Saccharomyces cerevisiae S288C: one gene and its partner. The protein of the gene in region 1 interacts with the protein of each later gene in a biochemical or structural test. Each region holds a gene or a part of one and is shown in the gene's direction. Other genes may lie near its edges. The genes, in order: SNF5 and INO2.

Region 1 (13,270 bases):
CAAATACAAGTTTAGAGCATAACGTTCCGATCATCAGACGTCAATATCGCAGTAGCACTCTCGCAGGGGAGTGGCGACTCATAATTGCGTGAATTCGCTCATGTTTCTTCGAGGGGCGCATATTGTGACGCTAATATTATGTACCGCCCTTCCCCACACACACAAAAAAAAAAGGTTAAGGATAAAGATAAGTAAACTAATGGAATATATAAACAAATAAGTAAGTAGATACTGTAAATAGAACACACGTTTTTTAATTTATTTTTTTTTTTACATATCTTAATTTAATATAAATCAAAAAGCCCAAGCCTCAAACAAGAGTCTTATCACTCCATTTATAACATAACAATTCGAAATCTCTAAGCTCGCTTATAGTTGACAATGACCATATTTTCTAGGTTCTCATATTTTGATAGTCTATTCTCCTTTAAAAAGCAAGAGCCTTCCCCCATTGAAATAATCTATTGCAATGAAAACAATGGTTTCATAAACATAAAATCCTTAGAAAGCCCCACTGACGATAGCATGGAGGCGGACATTTCAGATAGAGAAATGGCTACAATCCTGACTAGAAACAGAAACAATTTGGGTAAGGTTGCCATTGATAAGAAAGGCGTTAATAATCATTGCATAGATTTGAATGAGCTGAAAAAGGGCCTTGTCGCCAATGAACACAAATTGGATAACGATAACTCAACACGGCACCAGAACACATATTCACCAGAGGATTCCGTGGAATTTGATAGGTTCGATGATAAACAAAGCAGAATACTAAAGTGTAGCACTAGAAGGAGCTACTTGAGATACAAGAAATAAGACAATTGAGCTGCTTCATTATATATCTTGATATAATCACCTTTCTTATCGTCAGAAAGAGTGTTCTCTATGTTTTTGTGCTTCCATAAATATATAGTTCAAAAAGTAATATCATATACTATTAATAATAAAAGTTATACTGAATATATTGATTAGTTCTATTAATTACTATTGACACACTTTGAATTCCCTTAAATTAACCCTCAGGAAGAAGGGGTCCTTAGGAAAATTTTTCTTTTTTCAATATAAAAGCGAGGAACAATGGATGGGAACAAAACCATGTTCAGCCTTTCAACAATTGGTAGAAGAAGCCAAAAAAAAAAAAAAAACAGAAACGCCAACCATGCACTTTTCTTTGAAGCAATTGGCTGTCGCTGCGTTTTACGCTACCAATTTAGGCTCTGCCTATGTCATTCCTCAATTCTTCCAGGAAGCCTTTCAACAAGAAGAGCCAATTGAGAATTATCTTCCGCAATTAAACGACGATGATAGCTCTGCCGTTGCTGCCAACATTCCGAAGCCACATATTCCTTACTTCATGAAACCACATGTAGAAAGTGAAAAATTGCAAGATAAAATCAAAGTTGACGATTTGAATGCTACTGCTTGGGACCTCTACCGTTTAGCTAACTATTCTACTCCTGACTACGGTCACCCTACCCGTGTGATCGGGTCCAAGGGTCATAACAAGACTATGGAATACATATTGAATGTTTTCGATGACATGCAGGACTACTATGATGTTTCTTTGCAAGAGTTCGAAGCTTTATCCGGTAAGATCATCTCTTTCAACCTCTCTGACGCCGAAACCGGTAAAAGCTTTGCTAACACTACAGCTTTCGCACTTTCTCCACCTGTGGACGGGTTCGTAGGTAAGCTAGTCGAAATTCCTAACTTGGGATGTGAAGAGAAGGATTACGCCTCTGTAGTCCCACCAAGACACAACGAAAAGCAAATTGCCCTTATCGAAAGAGGTAAGTGTCCTTTTGGCGATAAGAGTAATTTGGCCGGTAAGTTCGGTTTCACCGCTGTGGTCATTTACGACAACGAACCTAAATCTAAAGAAGGACTACACGGTACATTAGGCGAACCTACCAAGCACACTGTCGCCACCGTCGGTGTTCCATATAAAGTTGGTAAAAAATTGATTGCCAATATTGCATTGAACATCGATTATTCATTATATTTTGCCATGGACTCTTATGTAGAATTTATCAAGACCCAGAACATCATTGCCGACACAAAACACGGTGATCCTGATAATATTGTTGCCCTTGGTGCTCATTCAGACTCTGTTGAGGAGGGCCCAGGTATCAACGACGATGGTTCCGGTACTATTTCCCTATTGAACGTCGCTAAGCAATTGACCCATTTCAAGATCAATAACAAGGTCCGTTTTGCATGGTGGGCTGCTGAAGAAGAAGGTTTGCTAGGCTCTAACTTCTACGCTTATAACTTGACCAAAGAAGAAAACTCCAAGATCAGAGTATTTATGGACTATGACATGATGGCTTCTCCAAACTATGAATACGAAATTTATGATGCGAACAACAAGGAGAACCCTAAGGGGTCTGAAGAGTTGAAAAACCTGTACGTAGACTACTACAAGGCTCATCACTTGAACTACACTTTGGTCCCATTTGACGGTAGATCCGATTATGTCGGGTTTATCAACAACGGAATTCCAGCCGGTGGTATTGCCACTGGTGCCGAAAAGAATAACGTCAACAACGGAAAGGTCTTAGACAGATGCTACCATCAATTATGTGATGATGTCTCTAACTTATCCTGGGACGCATTCATTACCAACACCAAGTTGATTGCTCACTCTGTGGCCACCTATGCTGACTCTTTCGAGGGTTTCCCAAAAAGAGAAACCCAAAAGCACAAAGAGGTGGACATATTGAATGCTCAACAACCACAATTTAAGTACAGGGCCGACTTCTTGATTATTTAAGTGTACTGTTCACATCAAGTATTTCTGTATAATTATCTAAAAGAAAATAAAAACCCTCTTTTTTTTAACTGCACGTGCATCAAGGGGATCACAGCCTCCTTATCAAAGTGAAAAAAAGGTAGAAAAAAAAACTGAAATTGTGATATAAAAGTTTAAACAGGAAATTATTGTAAATTGAACAATATGTGTGAAGCCCGTTTTTGGTTTGTTATTCCCAACTAACCATACCCTCATAGATTACTCTGCATTTCTACTATATGGTTGAAACATTTAGTTTTGCTCATTTGGCTTATTTGGTCTTTGAGTCCGTTTTACAGGTAGTCATTATCGCACTCGCTGGTTTTTGGAGCGCTAGTTCTGGTCTGCTGCCCAAACAAAGTCAAAAAATCATTTCTCTGTTGAACGTGGACCTTTTTACACCATGTCTTATTTTTAGTAAGTTGGCCAAATCCCTGTCCATGGCCAAAATCTTTGAAATAGCCATCATTCCTATTTTTTTTGGTTTGACTACTGGTATTTCATTTATTTCCGGAAAGATAATGAGCCGTATCCTAGACTTGGATAAAGATGAAACTAATTTTGTGGTGGCAAACTCTGTCTTTGGTAACAGTAACTCTCTACCTGTGTCCTTGACATTATCTTTGGCTTACACTCTGCCCAACTTAACTTGGGACCAAATTCCTAATGATAACAGAGATAACGTTGCATCAAGGGGTATTTTATACTTGCTGATCTTTCAACAAATCGGACAAATGCTGAGGTGGAGCTGGGGTTACAATAAGCTAATGAAGTGGTCTGGAGAGAACACTCAGCATATGCCACCTTCTCAAGTGCAATCTTTGTTGGAAAGGACGCCCAACATTGATAACGAGGAACTTGTCAATGAGGAACAAGAGGAACAAGAATTGCTTGAAGAAGAAAATAACAGAATGAACTCATCTTTTTTGAGTTCGAGTTCCATCGGTGATAAGATTTGGCAAAAATCATGCACTGTATTTGAGAGAATCAGAGCGAACCTTAATCCTCCGTTATATTCCATGATTTTTGCTGTTGTTGTGGCAGCAATTGGTCCGTTGCAGAGAGAGCTATTTATGGAAGATGGGTTTATCAATAACACATTTGCCGAGGCTGTTACGCAGCTGGGTTCAGTTTCTATCCCACTGATCCTGGTTGTCCTCGGTTCTAACTTATATCCTTCTGCGGAAGTCTTCCCTAAGACGGTTCACCATAGCAAGTTATTGATCGGCTCCATCATCGGAAGAATGATTTTACCTTCTTGCTTCCTTTTGCCTATTATTGCTATTGCTGTTAAGTACATAAACGTGAGTATTTTGGACGATCCAATTTTCCTTGTTGTCGGTTTTCTTTTGACTGTTTCCCCTCCTGCCATTCAATTAACTCAAATCACTCAACTGAATGAATTTTTCGAGGCAGAAATGGCCGATATTCTATTTTGGGGGTACGCTGTCTTAAGTTTGCCTGTAAGTATTATTGTTGTCTCAGGTGCAATTTACGTTTTACAGTGGGCTAACCCAACTTAATACAACTTTTCATTCCTTTGTATAGAGTCTTCATGAATGAAAGTCTTATTCATTTTTTTTTTTTTTTAGCATAGTTTTATATTCCTTTTTTATTCCAAGACTTATATTCTCATTATATTCTATTTAGTTTCGCATGGAATTTCAAGTACACATATAACTACAGCCTTACTTGAAAATTGCCTGTCTGGGTCTTATACTTTGCACCCTTGTACAGCTTTGTATTTTTGCCAATTGTTAATCCAGATACAATATCGATGGCTTCTACATAGATTCCACTGGCCGATTGTCCTATGTAAGAATATTCTAAGGAGACTGTTTGTAAATCAACTTTTTTTGTAAAATTTGGCCCAGTATTTTCATACTCAATACAGCCACGTAGTACAGGTACCGTTCCAGTGGCAGTTGATTTATCAAAAATCCATTGTCCTTGACCCATGATAATGCTATTTTCAAAACGGCCATGAGTATTGCGCAATATTTTTATCTTATATGCTATTTCATTTGGATCAGCATTCTCAACATTGAACTGTAAATCTATTTTTAGGTCATCAACTTGTGAAACTTTTTTGAAATTTTCAATATTTAAGGATAACTCAAATTCATCAGAATCTTTACCCAATCCATTTTGGAAGTGTAAAGACATCAAGCCAATAGAATTCATCCTTACTCCGGATTGCTTTACTTGAGAACTTAAATCGACGGAATACTCCAGCAATCTGAACTTCCCATCTGGTGGTATAAACGTTATATTAGAGGGAGAAAACACACCATCATTGATTTCAACACAGTCATGCAAACTGGGTATACCTATATCATTTCCCATAGTGTTTAATTTTACTGCAACTAGAGGATTATCATTCAAATAAGATCTCACGTCCACTATTCCATGGATACTTCCAGTGAGCAACCTTAGATGTGATTTTTTCTTTTCAAATACAACATGGAATGTTTCTAACAAATCCACATAAAGCTCATTATTCTCATGTTTGCTAGCCCTTGAAGTTCTCCAGGGAACAATCTCTTCATTTTCGATTAGTGAATTACTACCACGAGAAATCTGATTTTGTTGTAGCTGCTGTTGCCTTTGTTGTGGGAGTTGCACAGCCTGCTGTAAATTATGGGCTGTAGAACTTATGAACTTCGATAAATCCGATCTTTCAGGAACAGCTTCTTTAATTTTATTAACATAGAGCATATCACTCACATTTGGTTCACCCGCTTCGACGCAACAGTTAAAAATCAAACTGATTCTATCATAATTATTAACAATTTTCTTGATACTTAATTTATCCTTGTCAAAATATTCTAACAGGATACGATCTATAGTCTCTAAAAAGGTAAAACAATCAAGCGGGCCTTTTGACTTCGAAGTGGAGGCTAAGCACCAATAATTGAGCTTATTTATAACTGAGAAATACTTATAGACCTCTAAATCTCTTCCAACCATTGAATGGTCTAAATAATCATCACTACTGCTATCTTCGAGCAATTGAGGACATGTGGACTGAACGCGGGTCCACAGGTGCTTGAAGGAGGGAGCTGTTGCACCTAAAAGATACTGGAAAATAAGTTTGTTCTTTGTATCAGTGATATAGAATGACAAATACATCTATTTTGGTTGGGTTGGTAAGGTTTACAGCCTCTGTTGTTGCCCAAGTCCTGTTATCGCCAACTTTAAATAAATCTCTTCTTGTTCTTTGACCAAAAATTTCATTTTTCGTCGCATTTAAAAGAAACTGAAATTTCAAACATAAACACCAAAACAAAGCATCATCAAGGGAACATATAGTAAAGAACTACACAAAAGCAACAATGAATAATCAGCCGCAGGGTACCAACAGCGTTCCAAATAGTATTGGAAATATATTTAGCAACATTGGAACTCCATCTTTTAACATGGCGCAAATTCCGCAACAGCTGTATCAGAGCCTCACACCACAACAATTGCAGATGATTCAGCAACGACACCAACAGTTACTGAGGAGTCGTCTACAACAACAACAACAACAACAACAACAAACTTCACCGCCACCGCAAACGCATCAATCTCCACCCCCTCCTCCGCAACAATCTCAACCCATTGCTAATCAATCAGCGACTTCTACCCCTCCTCCTCCTCCAGCACCACACAACTTACATCCCCAAATTGGTCAAGTGCCCTTAGCTCCAGCGCCTATTAATTTGCCTCCACAAATTGCTCAGTTACCTTTGGCTACACAGCAACAAGTTTTGAACAAGTTGAGGCAGCAGGCCATAGCAAAAAATAATCCACAGGTTGTGAATGCAATTACTGTTGCACAACAACAAGTGCAACGCCAAATTGAGCAGCAAAAGGGACAGCAAACGGCACAAACTCAGCTAGAACAGCAGAGGCAATTGCTGGTTCAGCAGCAACAGCAGCAGCAACTTAGAAACCAAATACAGCGACAACAGCAACAACAGTTTAGGCATCATGTGCAAATACAACAGCAGCAACAAAAGCAACAACAACAGCAGCAGCAGCATCAGCAACAACAACAACAACAACAGCAACAGCAGCAACAGCAACAGCAACAGCAGCAGCAACAACAACAGCAACAACAACAACAACAGCAGCAGCAGCAGCAGCAGCAGCAAGGACAAATACCGCAATCTCAGCAAGTTCCTCAAGTTAGATCCATGAGTGGACAACCTCCCACCAATGTTCAGCCAACTATTGGCCAACTTCCTCAACTTCCAAAATTAAACTTACCCAAGTACCAAACTATTCAATACGATCCACCAGAAACCAAGCTACCATATCCAACCTATTGGTCAGACAAAAAAGCAGATACGGATACTTTGTTGTACGAACAAATTATCCAGCGTGATAAAATTAACAAATATTCGCTAATAAGAGAAACCAATGGTTACGATCCGTTTAGCATTTATGGATTTAGTAATAAAGAGTATATTAGTAGACTGTGGCATACACTGAAGTATTATCAAGATTTGAAGAACACTAGAATGAAATCTATCACAAGCACTTCTCAGAAGATTCCTTCGGCAAGTATTTGGGGAAATGGTTACTCAGGGTATGGTAATGGGATTACGAATACAACTACCAGAGTTATTCCACAAGTAGAAGTTGGAAATAGGAAGCATTACCTAGAGGATAAATTAAAAGTCTATAAACAGGCCATGAATGAGACATCGGAACAGTTAGTTCCCATAAGATTGGAGTTCGATCAAGATCGTGACAGATTCTTCCTCAGGGACACTTTGTTATGGAACAAAAATGACAAGCTTATTAAAATTGAAGACTTTGTGGACGACATGTTGCGAGATTACCGATTTGAGGACGCTACGAGAGAGCAACACATTGATACTATTTGTCAATCTATACAAGAGCAGATTCAGGAGTTTCAAGGAAATCCATATATAGAGTTGAATCAGGACCGTCTAGGCGGTGATGACTTGAGAATTAGAATCAAGCTGGATATTGTCGTGGGACAAAACCAGTTAATCGATCAATTTGAGTGGGACATCTCTAATAGTGATAACTGTCCAGAAGAGTTTGCAGAGTCCATGTGTCAAGAATTAGAACTACCAGGTGAGTTTGTGACTGCCATTGCTCACTCCATAAGAGAGCAAGTTCATATGTATCATAAATCACTGGCACTGTTAGGTTACAATTTTGATGGATCAGCGATAGAAGATGATGACATTAGAAGCAGAATGCTCCCAACGATTACTCTTGATGATGTTTATAGGCCTGCAGCGGAAAGCAAAATTTTTACTCCAAACCTATTACAGATTTCAGCTGCAGAGTTAGAGAGATTGGATAAAGATAAGGACAGAGACACAAGAAGGAAAAGAAGACAAGGTAGATCTAATAGACGTGGTATGCTCGCATTGTCCGGCACATCTGCAAGTAATACATCTATGAACGGCGTTCACAACACAGTAGCAGCAGGAAATGCTTCATCGTTGCCACCAGGAGAGATTTTACTGCCAGATATTGCAGATATTCCAAGAACTTTCAGGACTCCAGTACCTAGCACTTTAATGCCTGGTGGTGTTGACGTAGGCCCTTCTGTGGAATCGTACGAATTGAGAAACACAACCACTTATAAAAGCAGGCCAGATAGACCTAAGCCAGTTTCACCTCCTTGTTATATTATTGACCATATTCCGGGTCATTCGCTACTACTTTCTATTAAACTGCCTGGGAAAGTTAATACAAAAGAAGAGTTCGCAGCAGCGCCCAATGACACAAGTAGTGGCACCAATGCAATGCTTCCGAGTCCAGAATCGCTGAAAACTAAGCTGAATAGTAACATTCGCGCTGGTGTGACGATACCTTCAATCCCAAACCCGATTGCCAATCACACTGTTACTAATTCACCCAATCCCACACTGCAGCCAGTAATCCCAGGTGGGGCAGCTAGTAAATCGGTACCTACACCTAGTCTTCCTATAGCACCTCCAGTAGCACCACATGATAGCGAAGCGACATTGTTGACTAATAGCAATAATGGTAGCAGTAACAATAACACACAGAATACATAGAAAATATATACACATATATAAAATATACCGGAGATGTAAATAACCGTGGAAGAATTTGTATTATCATCGTGTTATACGATGCGGAGTCCCTTTGCGCCTACTTTTTTTAGAAGAATAGTACATAACCTTTATAAAAATCTTCCAATTTAGATACATAAAAAGAGCATGAGAATAACAAGAACACGTAGTCTAGGAAACTAAGCGCTATGCCAGAGCAAGAACTACTTATAGGGCAAGAAATGAATACACTTCATGCAGGTTCATCTACTGATGGCATAAATGTCGGAAACGCAGGACGAACTAGAGACACACAAACTGGCGTAGAAGGGGAAACGGAAATAGGGTCTGACGAGGAAGATAGCATAGAGGACGAGGGAAGCAGCAGTGGAGGAAATAGTACGACAGAAAGACTAGTACCACACCAGCTGAGGGAACAAGCAGCCAGACATATAGGAAAAATAGGAAGACATTTTAATATTCTTGATAGACTTTTTAAGAAACGTACACAACAGTCTTCGGATATACAACAAGGTGCCATGTTTGATGGTGTCTTTAGCAATTTAAGCGCAAAACCAGATACCACAGAGACTGAAGGTAATAACGAACAAGACATACCACCTACATACGACGAAGCTGCTGCTGATATGGCCCCCTCGTATTATGGAATGGATTTGAACAATTCAGATATCTACTACGACGAAATATGCATTGAGGGGCTTCCTGTAGGAAATATAGCAAATTTATTATGGAATATCATCGTAAGCACGAGTTTTCAGTTCATTGGATTTTTAATAACCTACATTTTACACACATCTCACGCAGCAAAGCAAGGTTCAAGGTTTGGATTAGGGTTAACGTTCATTGGATATGGTTATTCAATGATTCCCAATGATGTTACTTCAAAAGTCGGCAAAAATAAAAGCTTAAATAGAATGGAATTAGAGGATCCAAATGAATTCGATGATGTTCGTCTAAATTCACAATCAACGACACAAGATAAATTTGAATCACATTTGAATCACGGTCTGGATGAAGAAAAACAAAACATACCATGGTTGGCTGTTTTTGTGGCATTTCTTGGGCTATTTATCACCCTGAAGAGTATATACGACTACATTCAAGTCAAAAAATTGGAAAAGAAATACCTCAACCAAAGTCAAAATCAAGCATAAGCCATCTTCTTCATTATGATAAAAAGAGATATATAACTTTTTTAAGTGATCGGCTGGTAAATAGACTTATAACGAGTAGAAAACATTAGATGATATATTGTACACAATAATACATTTCAGGCTAGCATAACTAAGACCTTTTCATAGATAGTGAAAACAATACCACCACTCAAGACCAATCTCCCAAGTCTAGGCGTAGCACCTTTCCAAAACGTCTTTAACCCTTCTTCTTTGAAAATGGTTGCAAAACAATTCATTGTAGAGGAGTATTTGGTGGAATCCAAACTTTGCATTCTTGTTTTCACAGTATCAAGGGGCATGGTGGAATAGACCGTCACAATACCACTAAATGCACCCACTAAGAAGGTTAACCCGGATGATAAAGGTTTGTCTTTTGGCGAATCCGTATAATCTTGGATCAAGGTCTTAATCTTATTGTAACAACCCAATCTAACGGCTTGGTTTGCGGCCTGTCTCATGGAAACTGGCAAAACACCACGATAAAGACCAGAAAATCCTTTATCACGGACTAATGATGAATAGTTTCGTACTACACCGCGCCCATTATTATGGTATTTTGGTGTAGCAGATTGTTTATCATCGATCAAAGCAGTTTTGATTGCTTCAAAAGGAGTCACTGCGGCAACACTTTCTAATAGTCCCGCACCTAACCCAGCTATCACCCCTCTTGTACCACTTAGTTCTCCAGTTTCACTATCTCTTAGCATGTCTTTAATGGTATCAAAGCCAAGAAATCTAATACCCGCCTTAGCGGTGTTTCCAATAATAAATGCGGGACATCCGACATAAATGGAACCAATGCCCTGAGTTTTTGCAGTTTTATATATCAATACCAGAGGATTTCTTGATGCCTTGGAGGCCTTATCAATCAGCTGCAGCCTTGTTTTGGCAAACTCAAAAGGATATGTTATACATGCTTCAGCAGCACCGGCTAGGGACCCTGCCAGAAACGAGTGCAATGGATCTACGTCACTTTTGGTAGCTTTACTGGACATCGGTAAAATGCTAATTTATAATTCAAGCTCTACTTTGGAGTTCTTTCATTGTGACATCAAAATGTTTTTAATTTTACGTTGGCTTCGACATTTTACGTTTTATATATCACGCTAAAGTGAGACTAAATTTCATTGTTCTTCTTTTTTTTTTTTTTCACTTCTAATAATTGAAAATTCCGCAGGAATTCTTCCATATTCTTGACTCTTCAGTAAGACTAACTTAATGGAAATAGAGAAAATAGTACATATTTGAAAAAAAAAAAAGAGGTGTTGAAATGATTTGAGAATATTAAATAGCTTACAAGCGTTAGCCGAGTTCCCAGACAGCAGAGTTTCTACCCTGTGCTCTTTGTTGGCGGCTTTATTGATGAGGAATATAAAAATGTAATTAGGCAAACCTACGCGCGAAAATATAAGAAGCAAAGATATAAAGTGTAGTATATTTGAATATTTACATGAACGAAACGGCGACGTATAATGGTAATCGGCTGGGAACTTCATTAAAAAGTCAAGATGTAAGTTACCTCTTAGTAAGAAGAGTTATTGCAGCAAGCTTAGTATCAATAGGGAGACTCTGTCATGTAAAAAAATAAATGAACACAATCATAACCTCTTCGACTGGGCTATTCGTTGTATAGTATATGTGGTGGAGTGTAATGAATGAAGTTCTCAGAAGCTTGAAAGCATATCAAAATCACGTATTGACTATGACAGATTCTTGTTTCTTGCTCCATTACTCCATTCGAGTTTTTCACAACTTTTGTCGTTCGTCTATAACATCTCTTTTTTTTCCCACTCTTCTAAAATATTGGCATAGCTGACATGTTTGGAACCGAATAAGCAATTACAATACGACAGTAAAATAAAAGCATGTTATTGCTGCTTGTAGAGAATTCCTGCATATGTAACTTTCTCATTCCGACGGGATAAGTTCATAAACTAATCAGCGATGAGTTGCGGAAAATTCGTCAATAGAATATTTTCCAGTCAGTGGTGGTCCCAGTGGCCTGCAACCTAATGGCTATAGTTCTGGATAATAAATTGGGCAAAGGTCAGTATAAAGAATGAATGTATCAGGCCGTAATTGAAGCTTTCAAGTCCAGGTGAAAGGCCAAATCGACAATTAGCGAAAACAGGATTTTTTTACCAACTTGAAATAGTGACTGCTGTCTTTTTGCCTGATTAAGTGGTTATATATTTCAACTAATATCACAACAAAAGGCCTCTCAAAATTTGTGGCGAAGTGTACATCCTGGGTGCTCAGGTAAGCGTCGTCTTCGTATTTTTTTTTTTTCAACAGTAGTTTGGAAATAATGCTCTTCGAGGAATGCGAGCGGAAATGTTATCCACTGTATAAGTCGATATTTTAAGGGACGCTAAATATATCATCATAGCTCGTCTATTGGTGGCTTCTCCAATTGCACTTTCAATGCATTATGGTAAAGTGTGGTGATAAGGCATAGTGATGTTTACAGAGGTCTGTTGGTTTCTCTGGGCTCGCTCATCATCCGACCAGTAACCTTGTGGGGTTTCACATATTGTTCTATGCATTATTATCACGGATTTGTGCCTGCAAATGCTGTTTCTTTGGCTTTTCTTTCTAAAAAAATTATGATATATATATTGTTCCTCCTTGTTTAACAGGCTTTACGGTATTGTGGATCCTAGTAATAGGCGTACTTTTCTTCATTTACATATTTGAACAATATATGTCTCACAAGTAGTTGACCGAATAGCGTTACGTAAGGGTCAAAAACCTTTTCAGAATTGTATATATGACATTTTTAGAACATGATATAATAAACAGAATATAAAAGAAAATAGAGACGACGTACCATGGCATGAAGAATTGTACTGATATCACATTGTGTTGAGCACTGATAGATTAATACTATATTTCTGCTAGGTGCGGGGGGTAACATGTCCTAATGTGTGGCAACCACATTCTAAGGCTCGGTAAGTGATGCGATATATGTGCATGTGTGGCTTTCTTCCTAATTTGCTATTAGATGATTGTGTGCAAATCCACAGAAATATACAATTTCGAGAATATATATACTAGTTATCGTTATAAGAACACACAGTATTGGCCAATTCTTGCCTCTGAATGGTACAAAATGCTTTAAAATGTAGTAAATGAAACATTAATTCCAAATCAGATTTTTTTTCGCAATGCTTAAATCTAGTAAACACAAAGTACTACCGAAAAGCAAGGATGGAAACTATGGCAGTATTGAA
Region 2 (12,933 bases), on another chromosome or scaffold:
ACAAGAGCCAAAGTTACAGGTTCTTCAGCGTATGGGGCACACATCAAGATAGAGGATACGTACTGAGAAGAAACTGTAGCAGCTAATTCAATTCTACCACCTTTGAATACCGAATCAGTATAAACTTTGATTGGCAGGGAACCTTCATTATTCAAGTACTCAATTTTAGTACCATTAGCACGCAAAGAATCGACCAAAGGAGCAATTGGTCTTTGTTGCATTCTTGCGTTACCAGTTAAAACGATATACTTTTGGCTTGAAGTAGAATTGACCAAGGCAGCCAAGGAAGTCAAAAATCTAGATGCAGTACCTGCATTACCTAGATATAAGGGGTCAGCACAAGCTGACAATGTGGAACCACCATGTCCTTCCACCACTACCGTCTCACCATTATCTTCCCATGATATCGTAGCACCTTTCAATTCATGAACAGCGGTTAACATATGTTTAGTATCATCAGAATGTAATAAGTTCTTGATTTTACATTGACCTTCACCGAGGGCAGCAAGAATTAAAGCACGATTGGAGATGGACTTAGAACCAGGGGGGATAACAACTTTCTGTTGATCAGCAGGGATGTCCTTGAAGGGGTAAACGAGGGTTTCATCTGTTAGAATAAATCTCAGGTCTTCATCGCTAACAAATTGAGCGGAGTCACCATAGCACTTACCAATACTTTCTAAAATGACCACCTTCTTTTTGGAACCCTCGTTTTTCTTGTCAATACTCATTTTCTTCAATAAGATATCCAATGGTGTTTTCTTATGTAAGGTTAGCTCTTTAAACCATTTCTCATCAGGCGAAACAGGCAACCCGTAGGCAACCAAAATCTTGGATAGACGTGCAACTTGGGTAGGGGAGAGAATACCGAAATAACGGGATAATTCCGCCTCTTTAACCATACCAATGGACACACATTCACCATGTAATGCTTGTGGGGTTAGTATAGCTTCATAAGCATGACCAATAGAATGTCCGAAGTTCAAAAGGTTTCTTAGACTGGATTCACGTTCATCCGAAGAGACAACTTCCGCTTTGACCTTAATACTCTCAAGAACTAACTTATATGTATGATCCAACATAGCTTCAATATCTGTATTCGATATCTCGTCAATCTCGTTTGTCAATTGATTGGTAACCTTGACATTTTTTGCCCCATTAACAACATTTAAGAACAACGAAGCGTTTGATTCTAATCTAGTAAATTCGTCAGCGTTCCAAATACAAGCAGTCTTGATAACTTCTGCCATCCCATTGATAAACTCTCTCTTGGCTAACGTTTCTAGCCATTTAATATCTACAAGGACAAATTTTGGTTGCCAAAATGCACCAATAAAGTTTTTACCTAGAGGAGTGTCAATAGCAGTTTTACCACCAATGGAGGAATCGACCATTGCCAATAAGGATGTTGGTACTTGGACAACACGAACACCTCTCATAAATGTAGATGCAACGAACCCAATCATGTCACCAATAACACCACCACCGATCGCTACCATAACCGTATCACGAGTACATCCTTCCACTAAAAGATAATCTTCTAGCTGCGCTTTGGTTTCTCTACTTTTACTTGTCTCACCTGGTTTAACAACATAAGTAAGTAAACGAGAGCCTTCTGGCAAAGAAGCCTTGAATTCCAGGACTAATTGCTGGTAGTATGGAACTTTACTCAAGTTCGTATCATTGCAAATAACGTATGTCGAAGAAGGACAATGTTTAATTATGGTTTCAACCAAATGGTCATGAATGTTATACCCAACGTGGATAATATCATTTCCTAGAATTGGGACTTTGGCTAACTGCACCATCGTAATATACAATTATCTTACGTAGGGATTTCTCAACTAGGAGATTATATAAACTTGAACGACCGAGTATAGCTGTGATCTGTTACTAATGGTTACGAGTCGGCGTCCTACCTTCTATATTAATAAACCGCTTGTATAATGAATTTGTTCGACATTTGCGGTTAGAATCTATGGCGGTGAGAAAAAACCGAGTGAAAAAAAATTTCATGTTCGGGATGAGTCATATGCATGACAATTTACTATATTAAATCTGTGAGATTGGCCAGGAAGGTACCTTTGTCATATATATTGGGAATTTCGGACGCGTCTTTAATCGTGATGTAGTGTGTAAGGTTGTAGTGCTTATGGTCGTAGGCATTCGTGCTATAAAACGTAACATGTTGATCTTGGAGTGGTTCAGCAGCGTCATCTTTTTGTTCTGTGCATTTGAAAAACCAAGATGGGCAATCATCATCCAATGATCTCACCAGTTTTCCTTCTCTCATATACTCTTGAATGGTATACCATTTATCTTGCTCATTTGTAGTCATTCCCTCCTTTACAATGGCCAATTGAAGATACGTGAAAATAGCGCAGATGATAGTGAAGCATCCACATAATATGGTAAGAGTCAGAACAGCTCTAGGGAGCGTACTTGTGCTATTTAAAGAAATGTACCACAGCCTTAGAAAGGCGTAGCACATCGAGAATATGTTGGAAATTAGGAAAAGGTAGAATTGAAGGTAGTTTCCCTTTCCGATGCAGTTATTTATCCAGATGCAATGATGGTCGGCGACGAGAACGCATCGGTTGCAAATGCTACAATGTTTGGATCTAGCAGGCTTGACGATCCGGCATGTCGAACACTTTATGGCAGGATAATACAATAGGTAATCATATGGATATTCCTCTGTCGAGCCTGATTTATGATCCTTTGAATCCTCAGCTCTGCTTACCATGGCTAGAATTCCTAATGCTACCGGCGGTAGTATAATTATAGGCACGATCAGTATTCGTTCTAAAAGGAATAGCTCATTCTTAATCGTAGACTCCACTCTCATGTGGTATGTATATACTAGGTACAGGTAAATAGAGGTGTAGAAAAGAGGTACTAAATGCAACTTCCAACGATATTTTTGGTCATCCACTAGGAAGGGCTGAAACACATTACGATAGAAAGTCGAAAATGGCCATGTTGACTTGAAGACGGGCGAAAGTAATATCAAAACTACGAATCCTATTAGCAGCACAAATAGTAGATTCCATGACATTGTTTGTTCTTTTCATGTTAGGAGACAAAGATATCTTCTTTGGAGGCATAATGAAGTTTTTTTTAGGAAGGCGGAAGTATATATACAATGACACTACCTTTGTTGATAGCTACGAATTTCCTAAAGAGAAAGTATATTGTAGTATTTATATGAGTTGCATAGTACGTTATTCAAGGATAAAATGCCGAATAAATGCTTTAGATGATTTAAAATTCTGTATCGGATGGTTTTAATTAAAAAGTTTCGTTGGAGGTTTTCACCTCATTTTTGAAAAATAAAAATTCAGACCAAAACATTAATTATTTTGGCTTTGAATATACTGACCTCCTGGAAAGCCCTTGGACATTACTAAAATTGAGACAACTGTTTCGATTCCAGCTTAGAACTCCACAGAGCTTCACATGTTTTACACCTCTATTTATATATTCTGACAGTTTCCTTATGCCTTTCCAGTTTAAGGATGAGCGAATGAAAAATGCTTTTAATAAAGAGGTACTTGATGGACCCTGAAAGTTTAAGGAGGCAGATAATGAATGTATATAAATGTTACATGTGGAAGAGAGCGTTCCACAGTAATAGAAGCCTACTGGAAGTTAAACGTCGTGAAAAGAGTCTCCAGAGAAAAATTTTGGAAAGGATTCTTAGACCCAAGGAGGAAAATGCTGTCAAAAAATCTGGATTCAAGCTATGGTCAAGCCATTTGAATAACCCACACAAAACTTATATGCGGCTGGAGGAATTACAGAGACGTATTATGGAAGAGGTACACGTTGAAGGTATTAAAAAGAATGATAAGTTATTCAACGAAATAAATCAATGGCATTTCCAAAATGAAAACACAAGTACTGTTCGAACACCAACATTGCTGATACATGGCTATGCCGCATCTTCAATGTCTTTTTTCAGAAATTATCCAGGTCTGTCCAAGCACATCCGAAATTTATACTCAATTGACATGCCAGCGAGCGGATTGTCTTCAGTACCGTCTTTAGAGATCAATACAACAACACCTCTGCCGTTAGATATCAAATTTATTGGAGAAAATAAATTTAAGGTTCCATATACAATAAATGCAAATCACAATAAATTTGTGATTCAAATGTACGAAGATTTCTATCTCGACAGAATCGAGCAATGGCGCATTGATAACAAATTGGGCAAAATGAATGTTGTGGGGCATTCTTTTGGCGGATATTTATCTTTTAAATATGCTGTTAAATATCCAAACTCGGTAAACAAACTTTGCTTGGTATCCCCACTAGGAGTGGAAAGGAATATCTGGTCTGTAAATAATAATTTCCACTCCAACACTCTTTATACTATCGATTTTAAAAATCCAAATTCCAAGTTTTACTCCAAAAGAAATATGATTCCAAAATACTTATTTGAACAACAATTTCACATTTTGAGAATGATGGGACCATTAGGAGCTAAGTTATGTTGGAATTACATAATGGCGGCATATAGCCGAGTCCCATCGTTGGCATACAAAGAGTACATATTTGAACTGTTTTACGGTAAGGGAGGTATACCGGAGGTTACGACAGATATTTTCAAAGCGTTATTTTCAAGATGTATCCTAGCAAAGGACCCCTTGATGGATTCTCTGCAATATTTAAATGTTAAGAAATTATTGATAGTATATGGGCAATATGATTGGATGAATAAAAAAGCCGGTATGTTCATGGTCAAAGAGTTGAACAATTTAAAGAACTGTCTAGAAGGAGCAAGTTATTTAGAAATACCTTCTTCCGGTCACAATCTTTTTTTAGATAACCCAGAATCATTCAACCAATCTATAGTGTCCTTCTTATCAGACGAAACTAAATCGCCTTGATAGCAACCAAATCAAGTAGCAAAGAGCCAAAAAATGTGTTAATGTATGCTATCCCCCTTTTTGCTTTTGCGCTCCTCACACCTCTTTTCTTTGCTTTGAAATTTTTCTCAAATAAAATCTTTACAATCATCGCTACTAGTTAATTCATCCAATTTAGTGAGGAATAACGGATCAAATTCCACTAAATTTTCTAATCGAGATATGCTATTCGAATAATCCTCCGATACAGGGTCTTTCGGATATTCCCTGGGGAAATACTCTGTGTCACTTTCTTTTGAAGGAAGGATCATCGAGGGTGAAGAATCGCTTCCACTTGACTGTTGTAACAAATCTTTTTCTACCTTAACCATTTTATTTACATCAAATCGACGACTATGGTATGATTTTTTCTGTTTTTGGGCTAGGTCATTTAAATCATCAAGTGATATGGTCTTCTGCTTGAAATCTTTGTTGCACAAGCATTTCGCAATTTCGAAAACATTTTTCATGATTACTTTCTTCACAGTTTCTTTCTTAAAAATGGTCATTGCGGCGGTCACTCCTGTAAGCTCGTCCAAAATCTCAAGGCTGAAGGGAGATTGCGGTAGAACATTCATAATTATCGTGCACATCAATTTCAGTCGATCCGCTTTCTGGAGGTGGTCCGGCTCTTTATGTTCTACATCTTTTGGCCACCATTCCGGCCTTCCAGCATTGCCTTTAATGTATGGAAACCTGGTTTTCTTCCTTGGCTCAATAATTTTTATCCACAACTTAGCAATCGCCTTGCATGGGACCTGTCTTAATAATTTAAAAGCCGTATACAGATAATTCTGTATTAGTAGGGGTTGATCTAAGGGTAGCATGATCGCTGGTTGGATATTTTCTTCATAAACAGTTATTCTTTTCCTATTTACCAATGGATCGAACGTGAGTGGAGGGTTTTTTTCAATTGAAGATGATATAAAACTCTCTGAGAACAAGTTTTTTGGAATTGACTCACTTATTAAATGGTCTTTTTCCTTTATGAACACCATAAACTCATATCCTTGACCATTTAGCAGCGCCAGCGCCCTTCTAAGCTCTTCCATACCTATACGCATGTACTTAAGCTGACTCTATCGAAAAATGACGTACGCACAAATGCACATGTATACATACGCAATCCATCCTTTATATAAGCTGAGAAACAAGCAGAGGAACCTGCTTCAGTTGGGCCATCCCTTCGATGCTATATACTTCTAATCTTAAACTCTTCACTAAGACTTCGCAGGCACCGCTTCAAGGATGTCTCAGGTCGCGAGATTACTACAACAACTTAAAACAACCCTGATGCAACTGCAGCGTGCTGTTTTTCAACAGTACAAGAAAAAGTTCCATATTGTGCCATTGCCGATGCCATTGCAAAGGAATTTGTTCTCAGTCGCATCTCTCCTTTACTGCAGATCTGAGTTACTTTGAATCCTTGATAATATGGATCGAGTGCCTCTTCCATTATTTCTATTATTATAATCTCAACGCTTAATATGAATTAACCAACCACACTCAAACCAAATCTACGCCAGCTACAAATGGTAGGAGAATGAAGACACACCAGGACTCAAACAGGATTTCCCAACAATGTCTTTCAACATGCTGCTTGCCGGTCACTACTGCACTTCCTGCGCCTTTTCCGTTGAATCACCCTCCATAGTGCGGCAGATGGAACCAACCTAACCTTTTTTCAGCAGGAGGTAAAAAATTCGCCGGTTTTCTATCTCCCTCCGTCATCGGCAGGGCGTTGACACCTGTCCAAGTACAACACACATGTGAATTTTTTTCAGTGATTAAAGGCTCATCTCATCATATCTTATTGTAATCAGTATTTGGCGTCATAAGCAATTCGAAATTGGTTCGGTTCCATCTCGTTGACGTGCAATAAATAAATACATGGAACAGCAAAGGAGAAAATGCAACAAGCAACTGGGAACGAATTACTGGGTATCCTAGATCTGGATAACGATATAGACTTTGAAACTGCTTACCAAATGCTCAGCAGTAACTTCGACGACCAAATGTCTGCGCACATACATGAAAACACGTTTAGTGCAACTTCCCCTCCTCTGTTAACACACGAGCTCGGCATAATTCCTAACGTAGCAACCGTGCAACCCTCTCACGTAGAAACTATACCTGCCGATAACCAAACTCATCATGCTCCTTTGCATACTCATGCACACTATCTAAATCACAACCCTCATCAACCAAGCATGGGTTTTGATCAAGCGCTTGGTCTCAAGTTGTCTCCTTCCAGTTCGGGGTTGTTGAGCACGAATGAATCGAATGCCATTGAACAGTTTTTAGACAATCTAATATCACAGGATATGATGTCTTCCAACGCTTCCATGAACTCCGAATCACATCTACATATAAGATCACCAAAAAAGCAGCATAGGTATACCGAATTAAATCAAAGATATCCTGAAACACATCCACACAGTAACACAGGGGAGTTACCCACAAACACAGCAGATGTGCCAACTGAGTTCACCACGAGGGAAGGACCTCATCAGCCTATCGGCAATGACCACTACAACCCGCCACCGTTTTCAGTACCTGAGATACGAATCCCAGACTCTGATATTCCAGCCAATATCGAGGACGACCCTGTGAAGGTACGGAAATGGAAACACGTTCAAATGGAGAAGATACGAAGAATAAACACCAAAGAAGCCTTTGAAAGGCTCATTAAATCAGTAAGGACCCCACCGAAGGAAAACGGGAAAAGAATTCCCAAGCATATTCTTTTAACTTGTGTAATGAACGATATCAAGTCCATTAGAAGCGCAAATGAAGCACTACAGCACATACTGGATGATTCCTGAGCTCATACAAGCTATTAGTGATGAAAATGGCCTCCCGTTGGATGTATTTTTAGTTAATTTCGTATACATGGGCGAAAATATCATATGATTGCAAAGCTGGTCATGTAAATATATTCATTATAAACCAGACGGTAGAAAATCTCGTTTCTTTCCAGAGTGTAGCGTAGATTTTTGCGGACAAGAATTACCAGTATCTTCATTTTATTTAGAAGTTAAGAGAATCCGGAGGCAATGATGGTGAAGTAAAGAAATCTTTCAACGGCGAAGTATAATCTGTCTTCACAAACAGAATAACTGCGTACAAACTCGCAGTTATATGACCGTTACGAGTTGTATTGATTCAGTGAAGTAATAGTCCTATTACATCCATATGAATCCTGTCCTGGTAAACGGTGCAATGATCGCTCTACGTATACAAATTCTCTCCATCAATCGATGATGAACTGCTTTACACATAAAGTACGTGCCATTTATTTATAAATAATACCAATTAAGGGACGAAAATATTAACTGCTGAGTGTCTGCTTAGGTCCATTCTATTTCTTCTTTCCAAAAGAGAATAAAAAGAATCTATATATATATATAAATTTCTATCGAACGGATATTCTTGTTTTCGAATATCAAAAATGTAAGCTGTGGTTTCTCAGGGAACGTGTTACTTACAACTTTAGTTCTTTTAATATACTAGAAGCCAGCTCTTTATACAACCAAGTGTTCCCAGAAATTTTCTTAAAATGCACACCGGCTAAACCAACAATACGAACCTTGACGATATGAATTTCGAATTTGATGGGCTCTTTTTCTGTTGTAGTCATGCCTTCGCTACCGTCACCTTGTTGGTGGATGTTCTCCAAAGATGTTCCCGAATGCTTATCATCTCCATAGGTTTCGGTAATAGATGTTTTTCTCTGGTGAATGGAATTAGTTGTCAAAGGAGAAGAAGGTGAGTATTTATTAGAGCCTTGACGTCTAATGGATTCGTGGTGCGAAAGTGGCATGATCGATCTTGGAGTCCCTTCTCTCTTCGCTGCCACATTATTGGAAGAGAACCTTTGCATACAAACAAAACCACCCTTAACCTCCTTGAACTCTATATTCATTTTCCTCAGAACAAACATAATCTTGTATCTAACAATTGGCAAAGGCTTCGATGAAGTTGTCTGAACAGAAAAGAAACCCTTCAAAAATAAAGAACGGGGGAAATCGATGGATGGCATAGAACCGGCTGGAGCTCTAGAAGCTTCCTGCAATATCTCTTCATCTGTTAATTCCTTCTCCACAGATGGCGAGTTTATGTGTGCGTTCACAGAATGCACGCTGACGCTATCATTCGTCTGTGAAGTAACATTTCCCAAACTATCGGATTTGTTATCGTCACTTGATTCTAAGAACCCAGTATCTATAAGCTCTTGCTGAGGATAGGCAGATGAAGGCATTGGGGGTCTCATATATTTGAGTGATTCACGACGAGCATGACCAACTGATTTAGCTCTTGCGCTTGGATGTAGTTTTCGACCTTTTGCAACATTGAGAGGTGGTAAGGGATGATTCTCGTCGTCGTCGCTTCCTTCAAACTTCTGTGCAGCGTAAGCTTCCCGCCCGCTTCCTTTTGCAACTTCATTATTCTGTTTATTAATATCATGCAATTTCATTATATCTTCTTCAATTTGCTTCTCCCTTTGCTTCTCTACCATATTTTCTGCATCCGCAGGCAATGCTGGAAAGTCACCTTTATTGCCACCTCTGCTATCGTTTGTCTTGACAGGCTCATTCATGGTATAATTTGAATCATAACTCGGTTTAGCAAAACCAGGGACAAAGTCTGAAACAGCGCGAGAATGCGTCTTTTGCACAGGTTTATTGATACTATTATTACTATTAACAGATGTCTGTTCAATGGTCTTTTTACGGCGCTGTGATAATTTTCTAAATATATTCCCAAACTTCGCCTTTTCTGAGGGATCGCCAGTAGTTGAAGGTACCCTAAATTGTTGATAGTCATTTCCCTGAGGAGTTGGAGAGAGAGCATATTCCATTTCACGGCGTTGATTATCAGAACTTTTTCTACTCGTTGGTGACGTATGCGCTTGTTCTGGCATTGCTAACCTCGGTGGAATTAAGACATGTAAGGGGGGCTCTGTGCCATCGCTATTCTTTGGAGTGAATGGCACAGAGGTATCTTTTGTCGCCAACGTGGCTTCTGGCTCTGATTTCATAGCGGTTGTATTGACCTCTACGTCCCTTTGCTTCACACTTTCCGGTATTTCAGAAAGCTTTTCTATATTTTCGTGGCTCTGTCGCTGTTGTTGATTCCGAATTTTCGCATGTTTCCTATCAAGCATCTCAGAAGTCAAGTAATATATGGAAATCATTGGATGATATGCCCGAGTTGGGTCTTCAAAACTCTCTGTTATGTTTGGCGCGTTTCCGTTATCACTGGATTCTGCGTTCATTTTGGCCGCTAAAGTCCAGTATTGTCTAGAGAGAAGAACGTAAGTAGGATCTGTGATTATACTGACCAAAACACTTCTTGTTTCCTCTACATCGTCAATAAATTCTAAACGGTACATTTCTTTTAAGACATTTATATCAAGCATTTCGATAGTTAGGGGAACTCTTTTCGGTAAGTAAGAAGGAGGGGGACCATTGAACCCTCTTACCATCCAGTGGTGCTCCACAACCTGTTTAAGTGTGGCTCTTCTTTTCGGATCTACTACCAACATTTTGGATAACAGTGATATTACTTCGATAGATAAATGTTGGGGATATTCAACCTTACCTTGCTTGATCTTTTCATGTAAAACGCTCGAATTTTCGTCGTCAAATGGCACTTTACCGCATACCAAAACAAATAAAACTACACCAAATGACCAGACATCTACTTCAGGTCCTGTATAAGGATTCGCTTTTAACAGCTCGGGAGCGGCAAAATACAGAGAGCCACAGAATGTATGAAGCTGCTTCCTAGAATCATAAATATTTGAAAGTCCAAAATCAATTATCTTGATTTCACTGGAATCTGAAATCATTATATTTTCTATCTTCAAATCTCTATGGACGATGTTGTTAGCATGCAAATATATTAAGGCGCTCGCGATACCCCTAGCAAACTTTCTCGCTTGGTGTTCTCGTATTGACCCATGTTGGATGATATAGTCTAACAGCTGACCACCTGAAACATATTCAAACAACATATAGAAATGATTTGACAACGTGCACATCTCAAAAAGTCTACATATGTGTGGATGATATAAGATTTGTCCCAAGGACGCTTCTCGAATAGTTCTTTTGTCCCTAGATATTTCCTTCTCTAATTTCTTCTGTCTCTCCAAAACATCTTGTTCATTTTTGGGTGGTGGCAGCATTTGTTCTTTATGTAGGAAAGCCTTTGTAGCACGGTTTACAATTTTTACTGCACAAACCTCATTAGTGTAACGATGTTTTGCCAGCTTCACTTTACCCATAGAACCTGCACCAACTGTTTCAACAAACTCCCAATCTCCTAACGATTTTCGATGAAACTGCTTAGGCATGCCCTGAGAAGACGAAACTCGACTCTGGCTGGTAGTATTTGGCTTTGGTGCATTCTCTCTCGATTTACCTTCAAGTTCTACTTGTCTCTCCTTTTGCTCTGCTTGATGTGAGTTACCATTATTGGCGTATTTGATATCCGCCGGGGGCATTAGCGGTGTGTTCTGCTGCTGCTGCTGCTGTGGACTTTTTCCCATCATTCTCAGCGTAGCGGGCGCCATAGTGCTTGGTTGTGTATGCATGCTGTTGCTTTCACTATTGCCATCATCCTGCTGGTTACCTCTGCCCATTGAGAAGGCAGTATTTACGTGATAATCATCCATATTCTACGTGAGCAAAAAGTAATCGTAATAAACTGTACCTGTTTAAAAGAAGTTGAAAAAAAAAATGCGTAATAGCCCAAAATCCCTAGTATATTCAGTTGCTCTAATCGGAGCAAAGATGTTTGAATTTTACTAATCAATAGTTGGAAAATGAAAGACCGATAGGGTAGGGGGGCGAAGGGTGACAACTAATTATGTTAACTAGCCTAGGTTACCGTATGTCCTTATAATAACGAAGTAAATCTCAAAAAATTTCAAATCACAAAGTGGCTCTAACTAAACCTGCTTGATATCGTATCTCGCTAATACACTTCCTCAACGCCATAATTTCTTGTTAACGTTCCACCAATATCAACTTCTTGTCCCCTTTCTTTCCTTCCGCATTGGCGCCGCGTTGGGTTCCCCGGCTTGCAAATAACGACGATGAGTATAGCTTATTATGTATGTAGGTAATAAAGGCAAGTTACATACTACGATCCTGTGGGAGTGGTGGCAAGCACTACTAGACAGTTTCCATAGCGGGGTTACGTTTGCTCAAGGTTTTGAACTCTAGTTTCTACATCTTGGCTCTCCGTTTTCTGTTTCTTTTCGGAGGACTCTTCTACGTCCTGTAATGCATCGCCTTGTTCTTCTATTTCGTCATGCTCTTTAACCTTTTCCACGGGCACATTCTCCTTATCTTCACCCATATCTATATCGCCATCAGCATCTACTTCACCACTATCTAGTTTTTCCTTCTTCCTCTGTTCAACAGCAGCTTGGTATTCATCTAGTTTATCTCTAACCGGACCCTTCAATGCCGAGTGTCCTATATGGTCCAAAGCACTCAGAACATCATCTACACTGCAGCTTTTTTTATCTTGACTCTTTGCAATTTCCCTTGCAAACAGGAGCAAGTGGTTAACAAATACTGTAGCACCACGCTGTAACGCTAGTGATGCGTCTTTATTTATCAGCAGCTTTTTGCCGCTTTGCTGTGGCACTTCGCGTGCCAAATTCACAATAGTGCTTTTAGGAAATAACAGGTCCTGAATCGTAATGTTCTCTTGTTCTTTAATATACGAAGTAGTGGGGTAATTCCCTTGGGCGTCTTTTCTCCAACCTTTTGGTGGCATCGTGTGTAAAAATATATGGTCTGATATAAATAAGCAATGAAAGGCTTGACTTCTATTTCAAAGTATTAAATAATTAAAAAAATCCTTCCTTTCACCTAAAACCTCTAGGTAATATTCTGTGGCTTCTGCTATTGTGCCGCTATGAATAACAATTTTAAGCTCTGATGATCGAATCTGGTTTTTAACGTTATTCCAATTTGAGCCTTTCTTTATTCGTCCAAAGGGA

What was found.
Region 2: the proteins of SNF5 (region 1) and INO2 form a complex in vitro, tested with the Saccharomyces cerevisiae proteins (2 studies listed by BioGRID).

What each region holds. Positions count from the first base shown.
Region 1 is NC_001134.8:773,541-786,810, forward strand, and holds SNF5 (Snf5p), read left to right. Parts: upstream 1-6,126; coding exon 6,127-8,844; downstream 8,845-13,270. Other genes in the region: YBR284W (metallo-dependent hydrolase superfamily protein), read left to right, coding at 1-92; HAB1 (Hab1p), read left to right, coding at 382-816; APE3 (aminopeptidase Y), read left to right, coding at 1,160-2,773; YBR287W (uncharacterized protein), read left to right, coding at 3,031-4,314; APM3 (Apm3p), read right to left, coding at 4,472-5,923; BSD2 (Bsd2p), read left to right, coding at 9,051-10,016; CTP1 (Ctp1p), read right to left, coding at 10,133-11,032; YBR292C (uncharacterized protein), read right to left, coding at 11,162-11,533. UniProt on the Saccharomyces cerevisiae protein: Involved in transcriptional activation. Component of the SWI/SNF complex, an ATP-dependent chromatin-remodeling complex, which is required for the positive and negative regulation of gene expression of a large number of genes.
Region 2 is NC_001136.10:693,359-706,291, reverse strand, and holds INO2 (Ino2p), read left to right. Parts: upstream 1-6,823; coding exon 6,824-7,738; downstream 7,739-12,933. Other genes in the region: ARO1 (pentafunctional protein ARO1p), read right to left, coding at 1-1,808; palmitoyltransferase SWF1, read right to left, coding at 2,048-3,058; ECM18 (alpha/beta hydrolase family protein), read left to right, coding at 3,534-4,895; YDR124W (uncharacterized protein), read right to left, coding at 5,003-5,977; serine/threonine protein kinase KIN1, read right to left, coding at 8,398-11,592; DPB4 (DNA polymerase epsilon noncatalytic subunit), read right to left, coding at 12,117-12,707. UniProt on the Saccharomyces cerevisiae protein: Positive regulatory factor required for depression of the coregulated phospholipid biosynthetic enzymes. Also involved in the expression of ITR1.